Linked DNA regions of Mus musculus. The protein of the gene in region 1 interacts with the protein of each later gene in a pairwise test. Links are inferred from orthologs where the notes say so. Each region holds a gene or a part of one and is shown in the gene's direction. Other genes may lie near its edges.

Region 1 (6,223 bases):
GGCCTAGGCAGAAGTGGGAGCAGACCCCGACAAGGCTCAAAGCGACATTCCTGCTTCCCGCTCCTTGTCCTGGACTCACCTATAGTGGGGATGGTGGTGACAATCTCCCCCAACTTCAGTTTGTACAGGATGGTAGTCTTGCCAGCCGCATCCAAGCCAACTGCAACGGAGAAGGGGGGGGGGGGGGGCAAAGAATGGAGACGGGAGCGAGGGAGCCCCCTAGAGCCCAGGGACAGGGAGAGGCCTGGCCAGCTGATGGTGATGGGGGCGGAGAGCAGGAGGGCCTCCAGGTGCGCGCTCTTCTCCACCTTCCGGGCCTTGAGGGCAGTCTGGGTGGCGAGTGCCAACTCCTGCCCCTCAAGTGCCCGAGGGGCGAGAGGGGCTAGGGAGGTAGGGGACCTGGGAGGAAGGCCGCGTTCCTTTGAAAAGTCGTTTCCAAGGGCGGAATCCTCCCTTCTTAGCAGCCGGGCTGGGGCGGAGGAAGCGTCACCCCACCCAGGCCCCAGCTCCGGGTTTCAGGCCCAGGGCCGACACTGCAGATCCTGGTTTGCACGGGAGCGCGGCCCCCAGAGGCTTTGGCGGTGGGGTGTCTCGGGGTCAGGGTACCAGGTGAGCGGGGCTAGAGGGACGCGGGGGCGGGAGGGCTGCGGCGGGGCCGGCGCCCCAAGCGGGCCGCGCGCTCGATCTGCCTCACCCATAAGGATCCGCATCTGCTTCTTCCCGAAGATCCGCGAAAAGAGCGCGGACACCGTGAGGCCCATGGCGGGGCCCGGGGCGGGGGCGCGGGCAGGGGACGCGGGGCGAGGGCTGGAACCGGCCGGCCGCGGGGGGATGGGGCGCAACAGCAGAAGGAGGAGGCGCCGCCGCCGCCGCCGCCGCCACCTCCGCGCGTCCGGGTCCGCCCGACGTCACGTGGCCCCGCCCCTCCGGGTCCGCCCCGGCCCCGCCCCCCAGGCGCGTTTGCGGAAGAACTGAAGTCTAGGGAGGCCTGGCAGCCTGCCTGGGGACCAGGGCTTGGAAGGGGACTTGTTCTGGGTCTCCGGTGACCGCAGGACTTTGCTTTACTCTTAAGTGGTAAACTTGCATTCCTGAGAAGACTTTGATAGAGTCGAAAAGTACATTTAAAAGATTCTCAAAGTAGCTCATTGTCTTTTGTTTTGAAACACTATGTCCACTATGTAGCCTTGGGTGGTCTGGAACTTGCTATGTAGACCAGCCTAGTCTCGAACTCACGGAGATGTGACGGCTGCCTTGGCATCTTGAGTAGATTTTTATTACAGAAATATTTTCTTAAAACCCGTTGTCACTCTTATTTCATCTCTTTCCCTCCCCGCACCCCTCTCACAGGCTTGGTATCTTCATAATGTCACAGGAATCTTATTTTGTTTCTAGCTCCTCCCCACCCTTTTTTTTTTTTTTTTTTCGAGACAGGGTTTCTCTGTATAGCCCTGGTTGTCCTGGAATTCACTTTGTAGACCCGGCTCGCCTCGAACTCAGAAATCCACCTGCCTCTGCCTCCCAAGTGCTGGGATTAAAGGCGTGCGCCACCACGCCTGGCTCCCTCCCCACTTTTATTTCGTGTTCATGTGTGGAGGTGTAGCTCTCAGAGGACAACCTGTGGGAATATGTTCTCTCTTTCCACCGTGTGGGCCCTGGTGATAGAACTCAGGTCAGATCATTGGGCCTGGGTGGAAAGTGCCTTTACTGCTGAGTCGTCTTACAGTCCCCACAAGAGTCTTGATGGAAAAGAAAAAGGAGACTTGATGGTGTGCTCTTGAGATGAAAATCTTTTCATGTCTTGTCACCTAAGGTAAAATCTAAATGCCTTTAAGTTGGGTCCTTTGTTCCAGCCTCATCAGTAGCCACCCTTCTCCCACACCATAAGCTTCCTGGGCAAGTTAGGCTCACTGATGCCTGACGTCCCTATACACCTTTCCACTTTCCTCCATGCTGGTTTCCCACATCTGCATTGAGCTTGGCAGTCTACTCATCTCTCAAACTTCAAATCATTTCCCCTAAGAGTCTCTGTCCTGGCAGGTGCCTCATCTCCTTTATACCACTTCTGCAATGCCCCGACACACTAGTGTGAAGGCAGGAGCTACCTGTTTGAATCTCTGTGTCCTTGCTGTTAGGAGTTTCTTGGGACAAGGCCATGCTTCTTCAGTAGTGCTATCTGGCATAGCATGTAGTATGTTGAGAGGCAGACTGAGATAGGACTCCTAAACTTCCTAGCTGAGTGACATTGGACATGTTACCCCTCTGTACATTTTACTCTATGTTCCCGTAAGTGTAACTCTTGTGACACAGCCCTGACCCCAGCATATGCTGGTATGCAAGATGGGCCTTATGGCTATATAATGCCCCTTTTACTAATCAGAACTAAGGGAGGGAGCTATTATGCTTTACGTTAACCAGGTACCGGCCTCGTTTTCCTAGTATGAGTCCTAACTGTTGCCCCAAATGTTGGACATTGCCCCAAATAGTTTGATGCGTCTTTCATCTATGTTTTTGGGGCAAATGCAGTGCGACGTCGCCCCCTGTCGCTCACTGGTGGTAGCTTGAGGGCAAAGTTAGGCATCTCCAAACCACTGCTCAGGTGCTTGCTCTAGACTTACCTACGGGTTACTCCCTCTCCAGGCCACCAGCAGACACGGTGCGGAAGCCCCACCCATCTCACGCCCACGGCGGGGCGGGGTCTGTGGCGTTTTGCTGCCGTCACTTCCAGGAGACCCGGAAGCGGTGCTGTTCCAGTTGTTGGGAAATCGTGATGGAACCCGGCTTAGTGTAAACCCTGGGCTTATCGTGGGCGGAGGGAGGCGGGTCTAGGTTGCGGTGGCCACAGGAGCGGCTAGGGCGGGACAGGCTCAGGGCCTGTACTGGAGAGCCTAGGCTGACTGCTCCTGCTAGGTCAGCGTCACTCCGCCTCCAGGTTGGAACTGGCTCCCACCTTCGGCCTGGCTCCTGCAGTGCTTTTGCCTGGCCACCGCGGCCCCTCATCCCGCCCGGACCGCTGGACGGACCGGGTGTATTGCCTGCAGCCAGACGGTTCTCTCTGCTTCACTTTTAGCTGTCCCTGTGGCTCTGCCCAGGGCTGCAAGAACGTTGACGTGGAGCGGTCCACGCCAGAACCCCCATGGAGAAGTTTGGGATGAATTTCGGGGGCGGCCCAAGTAAGAAGGATCTCTTGGAGACCATCGAGACACAGAAAAAGCAGCTTCTCCAGTACCAGGCAAGACTCAAGGATGTGGTGCGTGCCTATAAAAGCCTGCTGAAGGAGAAAGAAGCCCTGGAGGCCAGCATCAAGGTACTGTCGGTATCCCACGAGGCGGATGTAGGCCTCTCAGGTGTGCAGCCTCCAGGTCTCACGTTTCCTGATTCTGTGGATGACCGGTGCTCCACTCACAGTGAGGACAGCACCGGAACTGCCACTAGCTTGGATACCGCAGCCAGTCTTACAAGTGTCAAGGGTGAATTTGGGGTTGAAGATGACAGAGCGGCCCGTGGACCACTTCCCCCAAAGTCTGAAGAGGCCAGTGGGTCAGAGAGTGGCGTTAGTAGTAGCAGTGGGGATGGGCCATCTGCCGGTAGTGAGATGGACAAAAGAGTGCATCAGCTGAAGACTCAGTTGGCCACTTTGACTAGCTCCTTGGCGACAGTCACTCAGGAAAAGTCCCGTATGGAGGCGTCTTACCTGGCGGATAAGAAGAAGATGAAGCAGGACTTAGAGGATGCCAATAAAAAGGCAGAGGAAGAGCGGGGTCGCCTGGAGGGAGACTTGAAGGTGCTGCAAGAGCAGATAGCAGAAACCAAAGCCCGCCTCATTACACAGCAGCACGATCGTGCCCAGGAGCAGAGTGACCATGCCTTGATGCTGCGCGAGCTTCAGAAGCTCTTGCAGGAGGAGAGGACCCAGCGCCAGGACCTGGAACTTCGCTTAGAAGAGACCAGAGAAGCCTTGGCAGGGCGGGCATATGCCGCTGATCAGGTCGAAGGGTTTGAACTGCAGACCAAGCAGCTGACCCGAGAGGTAGAGGAGCTGAAAGGTGAGCTGCAAACCATTCGAGATGAGAAGAACCGACCAGACCCCCGGCTGCAGGAGCTTCAGCAAGAGGCTGCCCGTCTTAAAAGCCATTTCCAGGCCCAATTGCAGCAAGAAATGAGGAAGGTAATTATTCTCATATCCTTCAAATAGTCATTTTAGCTTACATAGGAAATTATTATTTTTCTCTTCTGGTCATTAGATAACTGTAATGCATCCCTATGTGTGTGTGTGTGTGTGTGTGTGTGTGTGTTTGTTTCTCTGTGTGTGTTTTCATGAGGCAGGGTCTTACCATGTAACCCAGTCTGCCCTTGAACTCACAGGGATTTGCCTGCTTTTCCATACCAAGTGCTAGGATTAAGGGCACCCCTCTCCCCACTTAAGGCAGGGTCTTGTTTTAGTCAAGGGATGCCTGGTGAGATAGCGTGAGTTGTTAGTGTGAGTACTGGGACTTTGGTCTGGTTCCACATTCCCAACATGCATAGTGATATTTGATGCCAAGTGAAAAAATTGCATCAGTGAGTCCCGTGAAGTGTGGCTTTGTGTGGTGTCCTTCTAACAGGATGAAGAGTTCCTGAGTATTTCTGGGTTCAAGCCAGATAGCTCTATCTAGGCCTTGGGTGTTGGCATCTTACCAGCTGTGCTGCTTGAGGTGATACAGTGACAGCTGTGTAGGGAAAGCTTGTGTGTATCCTGAGAAGTGTGTGCTTCTAGGTAAGGTGACTGGAGGAAGCAAAGGGGATTTTCCCCAGAAGAAATGCCTTGTGTATACGCTCAGGTGAGGTTTGCCTCAACTGTTTTATAGTGTTCCCTTTCAGTAGAGAGAGGGATCTAGGTTGGGTTTGAATTTACAGGCATGTTGGGAAAGGGAAAGAATGTTACACGGTTTCTTTAAATGATTTGGCTAACAGAAACATACTTTGTATTCAAGCTTAATGAAGAATGGAAAACTATGGTAGAAAGGGCACTTCAGTTAAAAATCCCCAGTTCCCACTTGTTCTGGGTTATTCCAAGCCCTGTTCACTTCTCTGTCTCCTCCCCCACACCCAGTTGACTCTAGGGGTTTTGTGACTTTCCTGGATGCCTTGTCACCTGTTCTTTGCTTTGCAGACAGCCCTTGCAGAGGACCAGCTCCGCCAGCAGTCTCAGGTAGAAGAGCAGAGAGTAGCAGCCCTGGAGAGCCAGATCTCTGAGGTATCTGAACTGCTGGGCACCTACGAGAAAGCCAAGCAGAAAGACCAGCTGGCCATCCAGAAGCTGAAGGAGCGACTTCTGCAGCTGGACCTGGAGAACAAGACACTGGCCCTCGCAGCCTCTAGCCGGTCCTCCCTTGACATCCATGGCGACGAATCCAGTCTGGATATCAATGTCTTGAAGGACAAGATGGAGAAGCTCAAGAAGCTACTACAGGTTGCAGCTAGGAAAAGCCAGGTGACCCTGGATGTGGAGAAGCTCTGCGACCCTGAGATAATGGCCAACTCCGAGGCTGCTGACGGGGAAAAGGCTACCGCGCTCTACTACCAACAGGAGCTGAAGCAGCTGAAGGAAGAGTTTGAGCGGTATAAGATGCGAGCCCAAGTTGTGCTCAAAAGCAAGAACACCAAAGATGGGAGCCTGGGGAAGGAGCTGGAGGCAGCACAGGAGCAGCTCGCAGAGCTGAAGGACAAGTATATCTCCCTGCGGCTGTCCTGTGAGGAGCTGGAAAGCCAGCACCAGCAGGAGGCTGAGGACTGGAAGCAGGAACTGGCCCGGCTGCAGCAGCTCCATCGGCAGGAACTGGAGCGCAGCCAGCTGGACTTCAGGGACCGCACACTGAAACTGGAGGAGGAGCTACACAAGCAGCGGGACCGGGCCCTGGCTGTGCTCGCGGAGAAGGACTTGGAGCTGGAGCAACTACGTTCTGTGGCCTTGTCCTCTGGGTTGCCAGGACGCAGAAGCCCCGTGGGAGGAGTGGGTGGTGGAGGTCTTGGGGACCCAGCCGACACAGCCTCCTCAGATAGCTTGACCCAGGCCCTGCAGCTTGCTGCAGCCAACGAGCCCACCTTCTTTCTTTATGCTGAGCAGTTGGCCCGCAAGGAGGTGGAGATCACATCTCTGAGGAAGCAGAAACACAGGCTGGAGGTAGAAGCCCATCAGCTGCAGGAAAGGCTGCTGGAGGAGGGCGAGCGGCATCGAGAGGAGGTT
Region 2 (6,310 bases), on another chromosome or scaffold:
CAGTATTCTTCTAAGTATCAACAGTTGGAATTTAAAAAAATAAAGAGAAAAACTGTTGGAGTGGCCCATCATCTCCTACTCCACTGTAATCCACTGCAGGGCTGGCTCTGATGGTTAAGATGAATCCGCTTCAGGCTGGGAGATCTGAGAGCAGGATGCACTGTGTGTTCAGAGCCTTCTACCAAGGTACATTTCCTTGGCATTATGACTTGATAAAACTGAGAGCATTTGCTACAACTTTAGCTTTTTTAGTATAAAAGCTCAAGCCAAGGTAAATGAGGAGGCCCTTGGGAACACAGTGACCCTTGTACCAGGCTAGGAGGTTACAAGCCCCTGAGACTGAGTGTCCAGAATATCAGCATGCAGGTTCTATGTTTAACTGCAGGTGGAGTGATGTGGGTGTTAACTTTTATTTTGATCACCTTGTAGTCTTTTAAACCCTTGGTCTCTGAGGCCAAGTCCACAACTTGCCTTCCAGTCACTTGCCTGCTGGTAGAATGGAATCAGTCACTAATCTTTGTGTCCTGTCTTGGCTGGGGCCATATAGGAGCAGCTTAGCTACTAAGGCCCAGAGAACCTTTATCCTCCTTCTCCTTGAAGGAGAGAAATTGAACTGGTGAAATCAGCGTCTTCTGCAGCATGGGAAGAAGAAAATAAAAATCTCCTTTCCAACAACTCTGACGTGTCTATGTGGTATCAGGTATATTCTTACATCGGTGCTAGGAATACGACGGGGGAAAAGAAGCCACCAGACATTCTCCTGGGATCTCTAGTGTCAATAATTTTAAACTTCTGTATGGCCAACCTGTATGGTCAGGAGCCTTGTTAGAGCTGAGAAAAAATTTCCATGACTGGTTAAGCAAGCTTTGGCCAGCCAAACAGCCCCTCACTGGCTGTTTGGAGACTCTTATGGGAAAGCATTAGGGTTGATAGAAAACAGCTGTTGGGATAATTGGTTGTTAGCACCCTAACAGAAGAGTGGGGGGACTCCAGGCTGCCTGCAGGGTAGATACATGTGATAGAAAACAGCTGCTAGGATAATTGGCTGTTAGAAAGGAGGCCAGAAAAAGAAGTGCAAGCTTACACCACGTGGAAGGTTTCTGGGGAGGCACGTTTTTGTATAGCAAAAGGCAGTCATGTATCACAGGTTCAGGAGTTTAGCAAAGCAAGGGGTGGGCATACATCATAGAGTTAGGAACTCAGCATAGGTTAAAAACCATGGTTTGCAGGGTACATTATGCTTAGGGGACAGAAACTTGTAAGGGATGTCCACTTAATGTAGCAGTGTGGCTGCTGTTTTGGTTTCCAGAGCAAAGAGAGGACATAGTTACCCTTTTGTTGCTTTTGCATGGAAAGACTAGGTAACTTCTGTATGTGTGCACATGCACTTGTGACTTCTTTGGGTATAAAAACATCTCATTATGTAGGCCTCGTGTTTTATGGTTGGTTCCGTCTCAGTAAACAATAATAAAGGCTCCTCTGAGGAAGGAGGATGGAGTTAGGGATATAGGGACTGGAGAGTTAGGTTCGAATTAATAAATAGCAATCAATCATATAATCAAGGACGACCTTGAACTATGGTACCCGAGCGCTAGGGTTGGGTTGTACAAGGCTTGCAAATAATCACTGAGCAGTAAGTGGCAGGCACTGTGCCAGTTGAGTGGTATTTGTGTGAGTCACTTAAACAGAAGTGGAAACTCTTTTTAAGATTTCCAGGCTGGAGTTGGAAAGAGCCTCTCAGCACTCTCAAAACAGCATCCTTTATGGTGAGGCCTTGACCAGTACCTGGGGCTCCCGATCACTTAGGCGGCAGGCTCACTCATCAGGATGACTTCTTGGGAAGGTGATACCTGGAAGTTAAGGCTTGAGAGCCAACTGAATAAACCTGATCTTAAGGGAACTGACCCTATACAAACCGGCAGTGAGGGCCTCTATGATGGGAGGATGGGCATAGGAGGTTAGACCTGAGGTTAGGCATGTTTCCCCGGTTCAGGGGAAATCGCTGAACTGGAGGAACCGGAATATCTCCCAAGAAGACCCCAACACGAACGCCCTGCCTCCAAGTGCCGTCCCTGTCCCAGGACTGACAGGAAGCTGAAGGTTTGGACCAGCTAACTCAGAAGGGTCTCTCCACATGCCTGAAGCCTGCCCACTCGGTTCTGGAAACAACAAATACATGAAAAGATGGCTTCCAGCCCAAAGGTCACGCCTGGAAGCTGTTTGCTCGGTGCGGAGCGATGCCGGAGAGAGCAAATACACATGGATCACATCTGACAAGAGATGGCAGGTGTGACAGTCTGGCGCCCGGAACCTCTGGTGGCTCCTCCCTTTCCACGCAGACCCCTGATCCTAGAGCGCCCAGGTGCAGAGCCAATAGGAACTTGAGGTTTAGGTGACTCGCCACGCCTGGGCCAATCAGCTCGACGCGCGCTCCGACGGCGTCTCGCGTGATAACCTGGCAGCTTCGGCTTTGACCGTCAGAGCTTTGGCTAGGTGTCCCACCCCGCCTTGTAAGACACCGGAAATTCGTCAACGAGCGATCCCTCCGCGCTCCGGAACCAGACCGCGGCTGGTCGTCAACCTATAAAGTAGTGCACTTTTCTCTCATGGGGCCTTTAGGACGATCTCTAACGCCACAGTTACCCCCCGAGCACAGCGGAGAAGGGTTGGGGCGGGCGAGGGCGTCAGTGAGAGGCGGTTTGGTGGCGCTGCGGTAGGATCACGTGACCACAGTGGGAGGATACGCGGTGTGCTGCGTCCCTGGCCGAGGCTATAAAGGGCGGGTTTAGGGCGTGCCGCCGCCATTTCTGCTTGCTGTCTGCCGGTTTAAGTTGTGTGCTCGGGTGTCCCTTTCCTCTTCCCCTCCCGCAGGGCTTGCGGCCACCATGGCGTATTAGAGGCAGCAGTGCCTGCGGCAGCGTTGGCCTTTGCAGCGGCGGCAGCAGCACCAGGCTCTGCAGCGGCAACCCCCACCGGCCTAAGCCATGGCGTGAGTATGGGGCCGGCCGCGGAGGGCGGGGGCCTCGCTGTGGTTGGGTGCGGCCCGGGCGCGGTGGCCGGCACACGCGGTTTTACAAGCGGCCGGACGCGTCGGCCTTGTTTGCGTTGCCTGCGACGCCGGCGCTCCCGGGCAGAGCTGGGCGGAGGAGTGTCTAAAGCGCTACTGCTGCCCCTTCGTCCTGTCTTAGCTTAATCATCTCGGGCTCACCGGGGTCCCCGTGTCATCCTGCGAACGTGGCGATGCCCAAGATGGCGGTGGGGCGGGGGTGTGAGTCACGGGGGCGGGGCGCGGCGGCCTTGGCCGTATTAGGACGCGAGGACAAGCTGCTTCCTCTGGGTGGCCGGTGAAGCAAAGCTAAGCCTCCATCTTGTGCAACCCGAGCTGGCGGCCGGGGAGGCTTACACAATGGCCTTGGGCCCGCGTGCTCTCCCTGTAGACGCTTCTGGGATTTGGCCATCCGGCATCTTAGATAGAAAGATGACTGGACTTGCTTTTGGGTCCCCATCCAGGCTCTTCACGAAATCCAGCAGCAGTGTTGCTGTAACGGACAAAGATACCTTCGAGTTAAGCACATTCCTCGAATCCAGCAAAGCCCCACAACATGACCGAGATGAGCTTCCTGAACAGCGAAGTGTTGGCGGGGGACTTGATGTCCCCCTTCGACCAGTCGGGTTTGGGGGCTGAAGAAAGCCTAGGTCTCTTAGATGACTATCTGGAGGTGGCCAAGCACTTGAAACCTCATGGGTTCTCCAGCGACAAGGCGGGCTCCTCGGAATGGCCGGCTATGGATGATGGCTTGGCCAGTGCCTCAGACACCGGCAAGGGTGAGTAGGACGGCTGTCCTGGTGTGCCCTTTTCATATGGATCTGGTGTTCTAATGGCTTTCTGCCTCCCGAATATGACATGAACCGTTCACACCTGAATTTCTTTTCCCAGAGGATGCCTTTTCCGGGACAGATTGGATGTTGGAGAAAATGGATCTGAAAGAGTTTGACTTCGATGCTCTGTTTCGAATGGATGACCTGGAAACCATGCCAGATGAGCTCTTGACCACGTTGGATGACACATGTGATCTTTTTGCCCCTCTAGTCCAAGAGACTAATAAGGAGCCCCCTCAGACAGTGAACCCAATTGGCCATCTCCCAGAAAGTTTAATAAAAGTCGACCAGGTTGCCCCCTTTACATTCTTGCAGCCTTTCCCCTGTTCCCCAGGGGTTCTGTCTTCCACTCCAGAGCATTCCTTTAGTTTAGAGCTAGGCAGTGAAGTTGATATCTCTGAAGGAGACAGGAAGCCTGACTCTGCTGCTTACATTACTCTAATCCCTCCATGTGTAAAGGAGGAAGACACTCCCTCTGACAATGACAGTGGCATCTGTATGAGCCCAGAGTCCTACCTGGGCTCTCCCCAGCATAGCCCCTCCACCTCCAGGGCCCCACCAGACAATCTGCCTTCTCCAGGTGGTTCCCGTGGGTCTCCTCGGCCCAAACCTTATGACCCACCTGGAGTTAGTTTGACAGCTAAAGTGAAGACTGAGAAATTGGATAAGAAGCTGAAAAAGATGGAGCAAAACAAGACAGCAGCCACTAGGTACCGCCAGAAGAAGCGGGCTGAGCAGGAGGCCCTCACTGGCGAGTGTAAGGAGCTAGAAAAAAAGAATGAGGCTCTGAAAGAGAAGGCAGATTCTCTGGCCAAGGAGATCCAGTATCTGAAAGACCTGATAGAAGAGGTCCGTAAGGCAAGGGGGAAGAAGAGAGTTCCGTAATAGGGTAGTCAGGTGCTTTGTGCTTGTACATAGTCTTGTGTTGCTGTGTTTGCTGTAATAAATTATTTTGTAGTGAAAGTACCTATGTGGGTTTTCAGTGTCATTCTTTGTAATAGACTTAACTGCAGACGTTCCTGGGTTAGATACAATAACTACCTGGGTATATCCCAGGGCTGAGCTGAGCTGTTTGAGACGGTGAAGATGAGGGAGCTCTGGGTTAATGAAAGGAACAGCCTGAATTCCACCTGTTCATACTGGCTTTGTGCCAGATAGCTGCCATGTAAGTACCTAGATGAGGTACCCGCCTTGAGCACACAGAGGATTAGGTTTTTCTCAGGCTTAAGGGATAGAGCTCATATTCCCTCTGACACAGATGGCTGGACTGTTTCCACCTGGTGGAAGGGCTGGGGTGATAGTAAACAGTGGCAGGTACTGTCTACAGAGGTGAAAATGAGCAATGTAGGCAGGAAGCTGGGAAGGGAACCTAGGCTTCCAGCTCCAGGGTCCTGGGCTACCTGCATCTTTACCTCTTAAATCTGGAAACTGTTAAAGCCTGCAGGGTTAAGAGGGATCTTTCAGCCTTCCCAATGCCAGTAGACTCACCTGAATGTTAGCTGTTGGGATGAATGTAGTCCATTGGGTTTGCTAATCTAGGATTCCTAAAACTATGGAATCCACCCGTAGTCTGGCCAAGAGTGGAGGAAGCTGTAGAAACCTTGACAATGTCAGGTATGACAAAAGGCTGGAAGTACTGCTTGCTCCCGTTTAGCCAGCCCAGACTGAAGCTGTTAGTTCTGGGCGCCTATTAGCTGGCAGAGAACGGCCTTCAGTTTCCCTACCACTGGTGATTGCTCACCTTGTACTGGGAACTATCGGATGCAAACTGAACACAAGATGAGCAGCTTAGTTTTTGTGAAACTTCCCTGCTAAGGGAGACAGGTACAACAAAGATGGGATGTAAAATGGCTGGCAGGCTGGGTGGAGGACCTGCTCTAGGAGGAGTGTGTTGGGGGCAGGGAACAAGGTGGGGCCTGGGTGTGGGTAGGATGATACAGCAGCCTCCCACTTCTGCAGCAGGCCTTTGGGCTCACCCTTGTTACGCACAGAAGCTAGGCTGTAAGTAGTTAAGTCTCTGCAATGAGACCCAAGTGCACCTACCCAGGCAGTCTATGGGATGGGCTGGAGATCTTGGCCACGGTGGGTGGCAGGTACATGTTCAAACCAGTACCCAGTGACATGTTCAGAAATAGACCAGCTCAGGTTTGGGGAATTGCAGAGCAGACCGCTGGACCTCTCGCCTAGTCCTTTAAGAACAGGGAACCTAACCAGCTCCAGATGCACCTTGAACTAAGCCCTCCCTACCCCTCAAGCAAGAACACTCGAGGCCAGGCTGGAGTCCTGGTGGCTGGCCCTGAGTCCCCAAGACCTCTAGTAGCAGTCCTGCTCCACTCTCTGTAGCTCCCTGGACTCACAGGGGACCAGGCAGTTGTGGATGGTCCAGGCCACAGCAGAAGCCACAGGAAGCATGGGGGGTGGGGCAGCAGCT
Region 3 (5,032 bases), on another chromosome or scaffold:
TTGGCAAAGCAAGCTTGCTCACGAGTTAGTAAGAGTAAGAAGTCAGTGGTGCCTCCTTCCAGCAGTGTTAATGAAGAACTTTCGGATGTCTTGCAGACTTTACAGGATGAATTTGGGCAAATGAGCTTGTGAGTTTTGACTTTTTGAATTTAAAATTACATTTAGTTCTAAAATCTCATTTTTTTCTAGCAGCTTGGATTTTTAATCCTAATTTTATTCACTGATGTTGAACATAGCCATTACACCAGCCCACTGGCTGGGAGTTAAACAAGCCTCCCTTTCTATTTTGTTAGATGTCAAATGCCAAGGCTTAGGTAAAAGCTCAGTAGTATTGAGGGTTATCCAAATATAACTAATGAGTTAGGACAGCGTTTGAAAGCCAGTGTCCCAGAGGATTTACTTTATAAGTGATGCTGATGGGAGAAGCAGATAAAAGTTTATATTAGCCTGCAACCCTGGATGGACCCAAATTTGTCTGGGATTAAGAATACTTGCATGTATCTTCATTTTTGTAAACCTTTGTTTTTATTTATGTATATATCACATGTGTGCAGGTCCCCAAGGAGGCCAGGAGAGGGCATCAGAGCCCCTGGAGCTGAAGTCACAGGTGGTTATGAGCCACCCATGTATAGAGCAGCAGTTTGTTAAAAGGAGTTATTTTTTAAGAGTGGTGAATCCCATAGTGAAATATAAAGGACATAACTTAAAAATGAGGAACTGAAGGTAGTCTCCCTTGTGGTTTGTATGCAGTGATCATCAGCAGCTTACTAAACTCATACAGGAATCACCAACTGTGGAACTAAAAGACAACCTGGAGTGTGAATTGGAGGCATTAGTGGGAAGAATGGAAGCGAAGGCCAATCAGATAACTAAAGTTCGAAAATACCAAGCCCAGGTGACTCCTGCCCTTCTGTCGTTTTTTCCCCCTTCATGTATATTAATTGATGATGCTTAAGCTGTTTCTGGAGATTTTCCTAACAGTCTGTGTTAAGAAGTGTTAGTTCTTATATTTCATATAAGATGTGTCTTTACTGACTATATTTAATATCCTTGGCTTTATGAACAAAACTAAGTGGTTTAGTTTGACTAAATTGTCTAAAAATACAGCTAGAATTTTTAATTTTCAAAGTCAGATTAAATATGTAAAAAAAAGTAGTATGTTTGCTCATACTAAATAATGACTAAAAGGAAAAGGGTTACTCACATTTAATAAGCCTACTTGGTGTTCTCATCTAGAGAAACAGACTGTATTTGAGATTGCTGTGAAATAGGGGTAGAACAGGGGTAGAGTCCAGCTCCTGGGTTGACAGCAATTGGAGTCTGGGTAGAAGTGGACAACTCTGAAGTAGGTTTTAGAAGTAAAAAATCCCTCTCAAGCTTCCAAATGCTGTGTGATGTGGAAGAACTATTTCACTGGCACAGAATCAAGTATATTGAGAATGCCATCTCACTTCATTTCCTTAAAACCCATTTTATAGGTGAAGTAACTGTGACTATCTCAGTAAATGAAATAACCTGCCCAAGGAGATCCTGTGTGGTTGTTGGTGCTGGACTGACAACTAACTAGTAGCTGTTAGAGTTTACAGTCTGGTCAAGCAGGGAGAATTCGAAGCCTGTCCCTCTCTCCTTAAGGAGACTTTTACAGTATTTATATAGCACTTATTTACCTGGCTGTGTATTTTACATATGTGATTTATAACTTCTGCAGATCTATGTGCTTTTAAAAAAACCCACCTAGAATCTATCACTTGAGTGTTAGAGGAAGATTATTTAAGTCAATGGTGTACTTAAGAAGTTGAGGCAGAAGAATCAAGAGTTTAAGACTGAACATAGCAAGACCTCGTATCAAAAACAAAGCTAAAAGAAAATGTTTTTATTGAATTCATTTTTTCCCTGTTTTGATTATTTGGTCAGCTGGAGAAACAAAACATAGATAAGCAGAAGAAGGAATTAAAAGCTAACAAAAAGACTCTTGATGAAGAAGGGAACAGCAGCGGTCGTTCATCTGGAGTCCCAAGGACCGCAAGTAAGAAGGATCTGGCCAAACAGAGACCTGGAGAAAAAAGCAGGAAAAATCTTCAGTTACTGAAGGACATGCAGACCATACAGAATTCACTGCAGAGCAGTAATCTGTGTTGGGATTACTGACACCAGGTCATAAATGATGTACCTCACTGGTCATAAACGATGTACGTACTGGACATGAGCAGACTTTCCAGGTCTCATGCTTGCTAAGCTGCCATTACTGGCAGGTGTTAGGGGCCAAGCTTCATTACAGTCTATTGTGCTATGTAGCACAACTGATGGAGATGGAGTTCTGCGGCAGAGAAGCCTCACTGTCTTTGAATTTGCTGTACTCATTCACTGCACTTTGTAAACAAATGACCAGTTTTTTACTCATGGGTGTGTTTTTTAAACTAGGTATATATGTAAATTGGGTTTGAAAATTCAGAATATGAGATAGTCCCCATAGTCAGTGCTTGAAGTCTTGTTTTTTAAATCTTCCCACAGCATGAAGTGACCACTACTCTCCCTTCTCCAGATGACCATTAAATGTACTGTTTTCAAGAAGACTTTGTTTTGCTTTGGTATTTTAGACATTGATCAATCATAAATTCACTTAAGTCAGTTATCCATGAAATATGTCACAATGTCTTCAGAAAAACTATATAAACAGTTGTTACTGAAGTAAATGAAATTTTGGAATAAAGAATGAGAACGTGGGTATTGTAAAATGTACACGTTTACAGTTTTTAGACAGTATCTATTTGTAATCATGTTAAGCACTGTTTAATCTTGACTTAAGAGAAGCTCATGCTTTTAGCATACAGTATGTGAATTGAATACACACATCTATCATGCCAATGTAAATTATTTAACTTTGAGTAGATCGACATGTTATAATCTTTATAAATTTGGTACTTCAAATCAATAAAGCAGTTTTTAAACTTTGCTTAACAGCCAGCTAACAAAGGCTTTATTTGTCATACAAACTCAAAAAGTGCATGTTAGTATCGTGATTGAGGAACGAGAATATCTGAGGCATGCTTGTCATCCTTGTGCTTACAGAGACCAAGCTCAGTGTTCCTGAATGGTTCAGACAGGCTGGGGAACATACTAGCCATCTACTAAGTTGAATAGCATGAATTGTTTGTTACTTGGGCACCAGAAGGCCCTATCACTTGGTGAATTTTCTAGTTAGAAACATAGATTTTTAAGCTTCATGAGTCACCTGAAATTGTATATAAATTTGTGTGTGCAGTTTTCTGATGAGGTTTGCAGGAACAATGACCTGACAACCGTGAGTCCATAGTCCCCAGGAAGGTAAGAAACTGCTCTGGTGACATGGCTCAACCACCACTTCCAACTGTTCCACTTGTGTTAATTCCTTGGATTTCAGGACAGTAAACTGTATAACTGTCATCTGAATGATGATGGCTCCAACTCCTAGTTAGAATAGTAATTGGAGGATAGTAACTCCTACCTGTCTCCAGCTGGATTCCAACTGTAGGCTTTGGGTTTTGATTCTGCTTCAGTTTCTTGTTCACTTGCAGCAGAGCTCCCTTGTATCCTGTACAAGACGCCAGCGCGGATCCCACGCTTCGTAAGAAAGGAGTGCTTTCCTTGATGTCATACTGGGGTGTGTGTGAACACCAGGAATGCAGTTGAACTCCACATAAGCACTTTTAGTGTGCACATTCCACACTCAAGATTCCTTGGAGGTCACAGAAAACATTGCAAGGTTTTGGAGTGACATATTTCTCTGCCGTTTGGGTGACCGTATGATCAGCATCCCTCTGATGTCATACCAAGATGGTCAAAGGTTTCAGGGAAGAAAGCAGACTAGTGAGGAAAGTGAACTGTTACAGAAATCTTACTTGAATGCTGGGAACATAAATACCTCCTCAAAAAAATTTTTATAGCTAAGTTTACACCAACCAAATTATTTGGTACCAATTCTTGTAAATACTGGGTATGCTGGGGTATATTCAATAGTATAGCATTTGCCTGGCAAGTGTGAGGCTCTGGGCTCAATATCCAGGTAAAATATATAAGCAAAAAAAAAAAAAAAGTAGGAAAGAGGAGATCTGTGATGTACTAATTCCAAAATCAACACCAGGACTACAGTTCAAACAATGAGTTACGGAACAATGCTTTTTACAGTTTGATTTTAGGTGTCAAAGACAGGTGGGCTTAAATTGGATTGGATAATTCCAGGTTAACATTTTGGGGGTGGGGTGGGGAGGGTACTTTAGACAACTGTGGACAAGGACAAAGTTTGAAGTCATTTAATTAAAAGACCAAGTGGTAAGAAGCTCGTTTGTTACAGTACATTACATATGGCTCTTGTACAGAGTAAAACAGACCCCAGGAGTCAACTGTCCCCACCAGCACCGGACTCGGGTGAGCAGAGAAGCAAGGCTTTACTTGCTGGCACTGAGACTAACTCATGCAGAGTGCTCTTTGGTAAAGTGTCCATGTGAGATTTACACAGCACATAAAGTCAGACTTCTAAGTTTTTAAAATACTGTCTTAAAACTTGCCAAATAGCATTTAGATAAAGTAGAGTAACAGTAAGGTTTTAAGATGTCTTCTGTGATGTTTGTGATCAATACACAAATGGAGTAGATGACAGCTACTACTTTGTCCCTTCAACCCCCCAAAGCACATATATAAGGCATTGTTTCCTAATTGCTGTTGAGAATATGCTAATTACAATGTCAGCAGCAAAAAAAAAAAAAAAAAAAAAACCTACTATGCCATAATAATCTCAAGACAATGCTTTTTACTATATTAAATATCACAAAACTTGGGGAAACTGAGAAAGGAATATTTGGATCTGACACAAGCCTCAATGCGTGTGCTCTCAGGTGCAACAGCAGGTGGCCTTGCTTTTCTCCCCTCCTGGAGATCTGACCAGGTGCTCAGGGTTTTAAGACATTTTTAAATGAAAAACTTGCTCCCAGTGTGAATACAGGACTGCAGTACTTTAGTATTCTTTGGGTGACTTAAGATTAGTGTCATACTTTAA
Region 4 (6,361 bases), on another chromosome or scaffold:
TCACCACCCACCCCAGCAAGTCTGGTTGGCTTCTCTTTCAGAATACACCCAAGCTCTATGCTCCTCCCCATGCTGGGTAGAGCTCTGGGAGGTTCCCAGAATTCTCTTCCACATCCGTCCAAGATGTACAAAACACTAATTTAACTACTTCCTCCTCCAGGACCTTTTAAACGTACTTTTGCTGGCAAGGCCCCCACTTTGTGCATCTCACTCTTAACTACCTTGAGGCAGTGTCTTGACCCAATTCACAATCCGTCCCCTAATCCTGACCACTTCTCCTCAATGCCAGCATGTCACACTATGACATCATATGCTAACGATAAGGACCAGGTTGGAAAGAGACAGGAGACCTCTGGAAAACCTCAGAAGGCAGAAAAGGAGACAGTTCCCCGCCCTCATCTGAAAACATTTGGCGGTGCCAGCTGGTGGGCAAGGGCATGGGTGGGTGGGTGGGGGCACCATTTTGCTATCATGAGAGGAGTAGCAAGTCTGAAGGCATACCTGTAGTGTTTTCCACGTCTTCGAGCAATACCTGGGAGATGTAGTGGATGCTGCGCAGGTATTCCACGTACGCTTCCTAGATGCAGGGGAGAGAATAGCAGTGGTCAGGCCTGCATCCTGCCTGCCTGGTGAATGCCCAGATACAACTGCAGGACCAACAGTGCCTGCTTGTTTTTTGACAAGACTTCCTTCTAGGCTTCAGTGATGGATGGTCCAGCTAGGACACAGATGGTATCTATACTGTCTAGACTTGAAGGGAAAAAGATATCAAACAGAACAAAAAATCAAAGAATTCCTTCCTTCAACACTGTGCTGAGGAGTTCCCAGACAGACACACCTCTCCTCTCATTACTATCCACCACATGAAGGAGCTGAGCTTCAGTCAGGAGGCTCCACAGAGCTGCCTGAGCAGCAATAAGGGTTTCCACTCTGTGTGACAAAGTTCTCTTCCTGTGCAACTCAAAGACTAGCAGTCTTTCCATGTCTCATGAAAAGCACTTCCTGAAATCTGAGGAGAGGATAAGGGCTCATCTGTCAATCTCAAGTTTTGGCTTAGGTGAAGAAATAACATTCTACAGACTCCAGAATAATTCCCTCTGCTCAAAGGAGCCCAGAGCACCGAGCTGCAGGTTTCAGCTGTGTGACCCCTCTGCTCTGGGCTCTGTGACAGCTCAAGACAGAACGCACTCTGGTCTGTATGTGTTTCGTTTTACTCGTTGTCAAAATTACCCAACTTTAATTAGCTCAGCACTTCAGATAAAATGGGTTTCAGGTAGGATTCTGGTCTTGTGAGGGTGCCCTAGAAAACTAAGTTGGGGCACTGGACAACCAGTGATTCGTCCTGTCCTATGGAAGCTCTGGGTGGCCCAGCCGGCTTTTCTACCTTGTTGCCATCCTTTTAATTAGCAGTTATTCTCAGTGACAGGCCACACCCCTTTTGTGCCTGGGTTTCTTTACAAATGACCTTTGAAGGCAACTGCAGACAGCAGCAGCATCCTGAATGAGCCAACAGTCGGGTCTTTTCTAGATTAACTCTACACAGACTCTGTCAAGAATACACACACACACACACACACACACACACACACACACATCTGTCATCTACATCTTGGATGTAGGTCCTTTGCAAACAGAACCTCCTCCTTATGTCACACCGCCTCATCACACAGGTAAATCTAGGCCCAGTGCGAGCTGAGCTGTTCCAGGTCCCCGCAGAGCTCGGCGCCCTTAGCCTCCGGGCCCCGGGTCTCCGGGCGCGGTCCCAGAGCCGCCGCCGCCGCCGCGCGCATCGGGAGCGCCGAATCCCTCTACACGCCCGCCCTCGCCCACCCACCAGGGGCAAAGGGCCTCCCAGAGCTGCTTCCGCGACCCTCCCAGCCTCACCCGGGGCCGGTTGCCGGTGTCTAGCTCGATGGCCTTGTTGGCCAGTTTCATGGCGCTCTGCAGTGGCTTCGCCCCGCCGTCCCCGGCCGCAGCGGCCATGGCGCTGGGCGGGGGCGGGGAGCGGGAGGCCGCGGCGGCAGGGGCGGGACGGGGCGGACGCCTCCAGACCGGAACGCGGAGCGCGGAGCTGAGGGAGGCGCAGGAGCTGCGCACCGCCGGAAGGGGACCCGGACACACTTCCGCCGGCCTTGCCCCGCCCCGCCGCGCCCCGCCCCGCCGCGCAGACTTGGGTTTAGGGGACCGGAGGGGTCAGTGGCTCTTGTCACCTCCTCCGGCCAACTTGCTGCGAGCGCGGACGGGAAGGCTGGCGGGGAGAGCTACTGCTCTGAAGGGTTTCTGTTGTGCGCCACCGCCCGGGCGGCAGTCCGCGGCCGTTCACCCTCCGGGCTGCCCCTCCTTTAAGGGCCTGTCGCGAGTTCCGAGAGACCCGAAGAACTCCGGGCTCCTGACCCCGCCGCGGCCGCTGTGGCTCCCCAGACCGCTCCTCGCTTCCTTGCAGCCCTCGCTTCCTCCGGCTCCGATCTCGGGGAGCCGAGCGGAGCGGGGCAGCGCGGCGGAGAGTAGCGGAACGGCACGGAGTGTGCCAAGTTAAGTCCGCTCTAGCAAGAAGTCAGGGGGCCGAGCCACACCGAGCAGCGCGGAGCAGGGAGCGAGTGTCGCCTACCACCATGAAGCGGGACCGCCTCGGCCGCTTCCTGTCTCCCGGAATAGCTCGGCAGCGCGGGGGTTCGGGCGGCGGCTGTGGAAGCGGTCGGACTCGGGGTCGCCCTTCTCGCAGCGGCGGAACGAGCGCTGACGGGGCGGCTGCTCAGCTCAGCTGGGGCTCGATGACACGCTCCTGCGGGGACACAGGCGACGACGGTACAGACGAAGCTGGTGGGTTCCAGGCGTCCTCGGGCCCCGGTGCGAGCTTAGTGATAATGAGAGCAAACCAGGCCTCCTGGTTCTGGAGAACGCGGGCCCTCTGGAGAACTGCCGATAGAGGCCCTTTCCTCTGCCGCCCAGACAGCTCTGTGTCGCTGCTATTTAGTGCGTAAGATTTGAAGGCACACAGGTGTGGCTTCAAGTTTGCTCTTCGTGCTATGGACTTTTAGGGTAATTGCTTAACTTTTTCTGAACCCCAGTTTCTTGATGGTTAAAACAGGCCTATAACCTAACCTGCGTTGGGAACTGAGTTAAGTGAACTAACTGCTTGTTCCTTGTGCGGCTGCGAGTTTGTGAACAAGCAGCAGCTAGTTAGGTTAACAGCCTCCATGTGCATCACATTAGTGTGGTGTTCTTCAGTCATCTGAGAATGGCTTTCCTATGTAAGCTGTCCTTTACTCCCACTAGGGGCAGTTGGGTGGCATCATGCACATGCTGCAGGCAGGGCACCTATAGATGGACAGGGATGAACAGTGAGTTAGTTTCTTGAGGCACGGCTTGGACACATTTTCAGAATAGGGATGTTAAGTTTCATCTTCGTTGTAGGCATCTGGGGTTCCTTGAATATTGAGTGTTCAGTGAGGAAGGCCAGCTCCCGAGTCCCAGTCCCGCTACTCTTGTGTTTAGGAAGCCTGGTGCGGGCACTTCTCTGCTTGCAGTGTTCGGAGGCCAGGGGGAAGAGTGGCCCTTGCACTGCGAGTACCTCGCTTATGTCACATTTGCTTCTCTGCGCAGGAGCAGGCCGGACTCTCGCTATGGGGCATTGTCGACTCTGCCATGGGAAGTTTTCCTCACGGAGCCTCCGAAGCATCTCTGACAGAGTGCCTGGGGAGACTTCAGAAAGACTGTCCCCAGGAGAGCGTGTCTTCATTAGGGACTTCCAGCGTCTGCTGGGTGTCGCTGTGCACCAGGACCCAGCCCTGCCTCAGTCTGTCTGCAAGAACTGCTACACCCAATTCTATCAGTGCCACAGCCTTCTCAGGACCTTCTTACAGAGAGTCAACGTCTCCCCAGCTGGCCAGAGGAAGCCTTGTACAAAGTAGGCCCTTGTTGGATTTCTAGGGACTTTTAGGGGTTCGTCACCCTGTGTTCTAGGTGTTGACTTAAGGCAGTGACTTGGGGTGGACAAAAGCTAGCATACAAAAGCTCATGGTGTTACAATGGGGTGCTGTGGTGGCAATGTTTGCAGAGATCTGAGGGTGAAGAGCTATCACTTAGGAGAGAGGGAACCAGGGCAGCTGACAGAGGGGCCCTGTGGAAGACGTTTGTGACCTTGAGAGGTTCCTAAACTGTGGCCACTGATGCTTTGCAGGGTTGGTGTTCAGCCTACCACAGTGGCAGAGGAGGGAGCATGTGTGGGTGAGTGCTATCTGTGCCAGGGTGGGCGTCCCAGGGAGGGCCTAGCGCTGGCCACGGTGAGCCTGACATCTCTGTTGATTCTCCTCAGCTGACCTGATCGCCTCCAGCCCTCGGTGTCTGCACGGCTTGGTGGGCTGGGTGCATGAGCATGCAGTCAGCTGTGGGTCTCTGCCCAGCCTCCAGAGGACACTGTCCTCTGAGTACTGCGGCATCATCCAGGCTGTGTGGGGCTGCGACCAGGGCCACGACTTCACCATGGACACAGCCTCCAGCTGCAGAGCTCTCTTTTTGGACAGTGCATTAGCAGTGAAATGGGCGTGGGGCAAGGACCTGTCACCACGGCTGGCCCAGAACTCAGAGTCCAACCCCACGGGAGCTGCCTCTCGGCTCTGCCAGGCCAGAGAAACCCAAGTTGGATCTGAGACCAAGACACTCCCCAGTGTGGATGTGGCCCTGCTGCACTCACATGGAGACTCTGTGGGACCTGGGCTAGGCCCCTGTACGCAGCCACACTTGGCTCCCAGTGAGGCCCCAGGTAAGCAGCACCTGTGGCTTATGCTGGAACAGGACTCAGTGTTCTGACCAAGGCTGTCATCAGCAGACAGTGGATTCTGTACTGTGTGCCTGTAGAGCACGGTACAGCATAGGAAGCTGGTGGCAGGAGAGGAGGATCCACCCTCGGTGCCTTCCCCTAGAACCTAAGTGTAGGGTGGCCCGACCAGCCTGTCTGACTTTCTGTCTCTTCACCAGTAGGCCTCTAATTCACCAGTTTCTGCAATGGTGCTCATCTGGCATTCAGTCTTCCTCTAAGTCTGTCCTTAGACCACAGGGGACTGGTTGTTCCTGTAGGCTGAGGGGACTGAGGGAGAGAGAAGAATGGGGTTATTGTCCGCAGGACATGGAGGCAGACAAAGAGGCTGCTACTTTACCATAGTGTGTAGGCCAGTGTGGTAGCTCTTCTGCTGACTGGCCCTTCTGTGGAGCTCAGACCCCACCCACACATGCTGTGGGTTGGATGCAGCTGTTCCTAAGCATCGTGTTGGGAGAGCTAGGAGCAGCCTCCTGCCTGCCTCTTGCCTCTGTGTGCTTCATGGCCAGTTATGGGCACTGCAGTTTTCACCTGCAGTCCACACTGGGGCTCTTTAAAAACTCTGGACGGGTACCAAGCATAGTGGTGCACACCTTTAACCCCAGCTCTTGGGGAGGCAAAGGCAGGCAGGCCAACTTCTGTGAGTTTGAGACCAGTCAGCTAGGTCTACGTAGAGAGTTCCAGGACAGAACCAAGGGTACATAGAGAGACCCTGTCTCAAAAAAAAAAAAAAAAAAAAAAAAAGCGGGATTGAAGATAAGGCTCAGCAGTTAAGAACACTTGCTGCCCTTGCAAAAGACACACATGGTGAGTAATCACCACATAACTCCAGTTCATGATCCAAGGCCTCATCTGGCCTCTGCCAGCACCAGGCATGTGCATAGGAGAAATAGTCACACACATAAATTCTTTTTCTTTCCCGAGACAGGATTTCTCTGTATAGTCGTGGGTGTCTTGGAACTCACTTTGTAGACCAGGCTGGCCTCGAACTCAGAAATTCGCCTGCCTCTGCCTCCCGAGTGCTGAGATTAAAGGCATGCGCCACCACGCCTGGCTTAAAAATTTTTTTTAAACATTAAAAGTGTAAGTACCCCTGTGGTTCAGCTATAGGTGGGCTCTAGGCGAGGCCCTAGGGTGACGCCACAGACTTTAGAATGCCTGGCTGTATAAAGTGTTTGTATACAGTATCTTTTAACATGTTGTAAACTATGCAGAGTGGGCCGTTCTCACAATGGCCTGAATCTGAGCAGGAGTGAGAACAGAGGAGGTTGAGGCCACAGGCCTCCCAGCCCCAGTAAGGAAGGTGTGTCCTTAGACAGGGAGGGACAGCATTGCCTCCTTACAGGAAAGTGCTCACTGTTGGTAACCAGAGCCTGTTCTTTGTTTCCCAGGGCAACTGGGTGAGACGCAGGTTCCCTCGTCAACCTCGGATGATCGGGTAAAAGACGAGTTCAGTGACCTTTCTGAGGGGTGAGAGAAGAGGGGGTTTCATAGCCTAAACTCTCTCCTTCCAGACCAGACTCAGCCTGTCTAGAGCTGCTACCC

The links.
Region 2: the proteins of Gcc1 (region 1) and Atf4 interact in binary tests that used the Homo sapiens proteins (3 or more experiments, as listed by UniProt). The two-hybrid records come from large-scale screens. The link is inferred for Mus musculus from reciprocal best matches to the Homo sapiens genes GCC1 and ATF4.
Region 3: the proteins of Gcc1 (region 1) and Cep57 interact in binary tests that used the Homo sapiens proteins (3 or more experiments, as listed by UniProt). The two-hybrid records come from large-scale screens. The link is inferred for Mus musculus from reciprocal best matches to the Homo sapiens genes GCC1 and CEP57.
Region 4: the proteins of Gcc1 (region 1) and Zfp276 interact in binary tests that used the Homo sapiens proteins (3 or more experiments, as listed by UniProt). The two-hybrid records come from large-scale screens. The link is inferred for Mus musculus from reciprocal best matches to the Homo sapiens genes GCC1 and ZNF276.

The regions. Positions count from the first base shown.
Region 1 is NC_000072.6:28,418,227-28,424,449, reverse strand, and holds the start of Gcc1 (GRIP and coiled-coil domain-containing protein 1), read left to right. Parts: upstream 1-2,725; 5' UTR 2,726-3,133; coding exon 3,134-4,165; intron 4,166-5,149; coding exon 5,150-6,223. Other genes in the region: Arf5 (ADP-ribosylation factor 5), read right to left, coding at 80-160, 695-761. UniProt on the Homo sapiens protein: Probably involved in maintaining Golgi structure.
Region 2 is NC_000081.6:80,252,697-80,259,006, forward strand, and holds Atf4 (cyclic AMP-dependent transcription factor ATF-4), read left to right. Parts: upstream 1-2,487; 5' UTR 2,488-2,989; intron 2,990-3,510; 5' UTR 3,511-3,602; coding exon 3,603-3,825; intron 3,826-3,937; coding exon 3,938-4,764; 3' UTR 4,765-4,849; downstream 4,850-6,310. UniProt on the Homo sapiens protein: Transcription factor that binds the cAMP response element (CRE) (consensus: 5'-GTGACGT[AC][AG]-3') and displays two biological functions, as regulator of metabolic and redox processes under normal cellular conditions, and as master transcription factor during integrated stress response (ISR).
Region 3 is NC_000075.6:13,805,723-13,810,754, reverse strand, and holds the end of Cep57 (centrosomal protein of 57 kDa), read left to right. Parts: coding exon 1-128; intron 129-750; coding exon 751-895; intron 896-1,858; exon of another isoform or gene 1,859-1,914; coding exon 1,915-2,148; 3' UTR 2,149-2,967; downstream 2,968-5,032. UniProt on the Homo sapiens protein: Centrosomal protein which may be required for microtubule attachment to centrosomes. May act by forming ring-like structures around microtubules. Mediates nuclear translocation and mitogenic activity of the internalized growth factor FGF2, but that of FGF1.
Region 4 is NC_000074.6:123,252,104-123,258,464, forward strand, and holds the start of Zfp276 (zinc finger protein 276), read left to right. Parts: upstream 1-2,091; 5' UTR 2,092-2,612; coding exon 2,613-2,820; exon of another isoform or gene 2,821-3,039; intron 3,040-3,603; coding exon 3,604-3,907; intron 3,908-4,180; coding exon 4,181-4,227; intron 4,228-4,315; coding exon 4,316-4,762; intron 4,763-6,207; coding exon 6,208-6,286; intron 6,287-6,361. Other genes in the region: Vps9d1 (VPS9 domain-containing protein 1), read right to left, coding at 502-577, 1,885-1,983. UniProt on the Homo sapiens protein: May be involved in transcriptional regulation.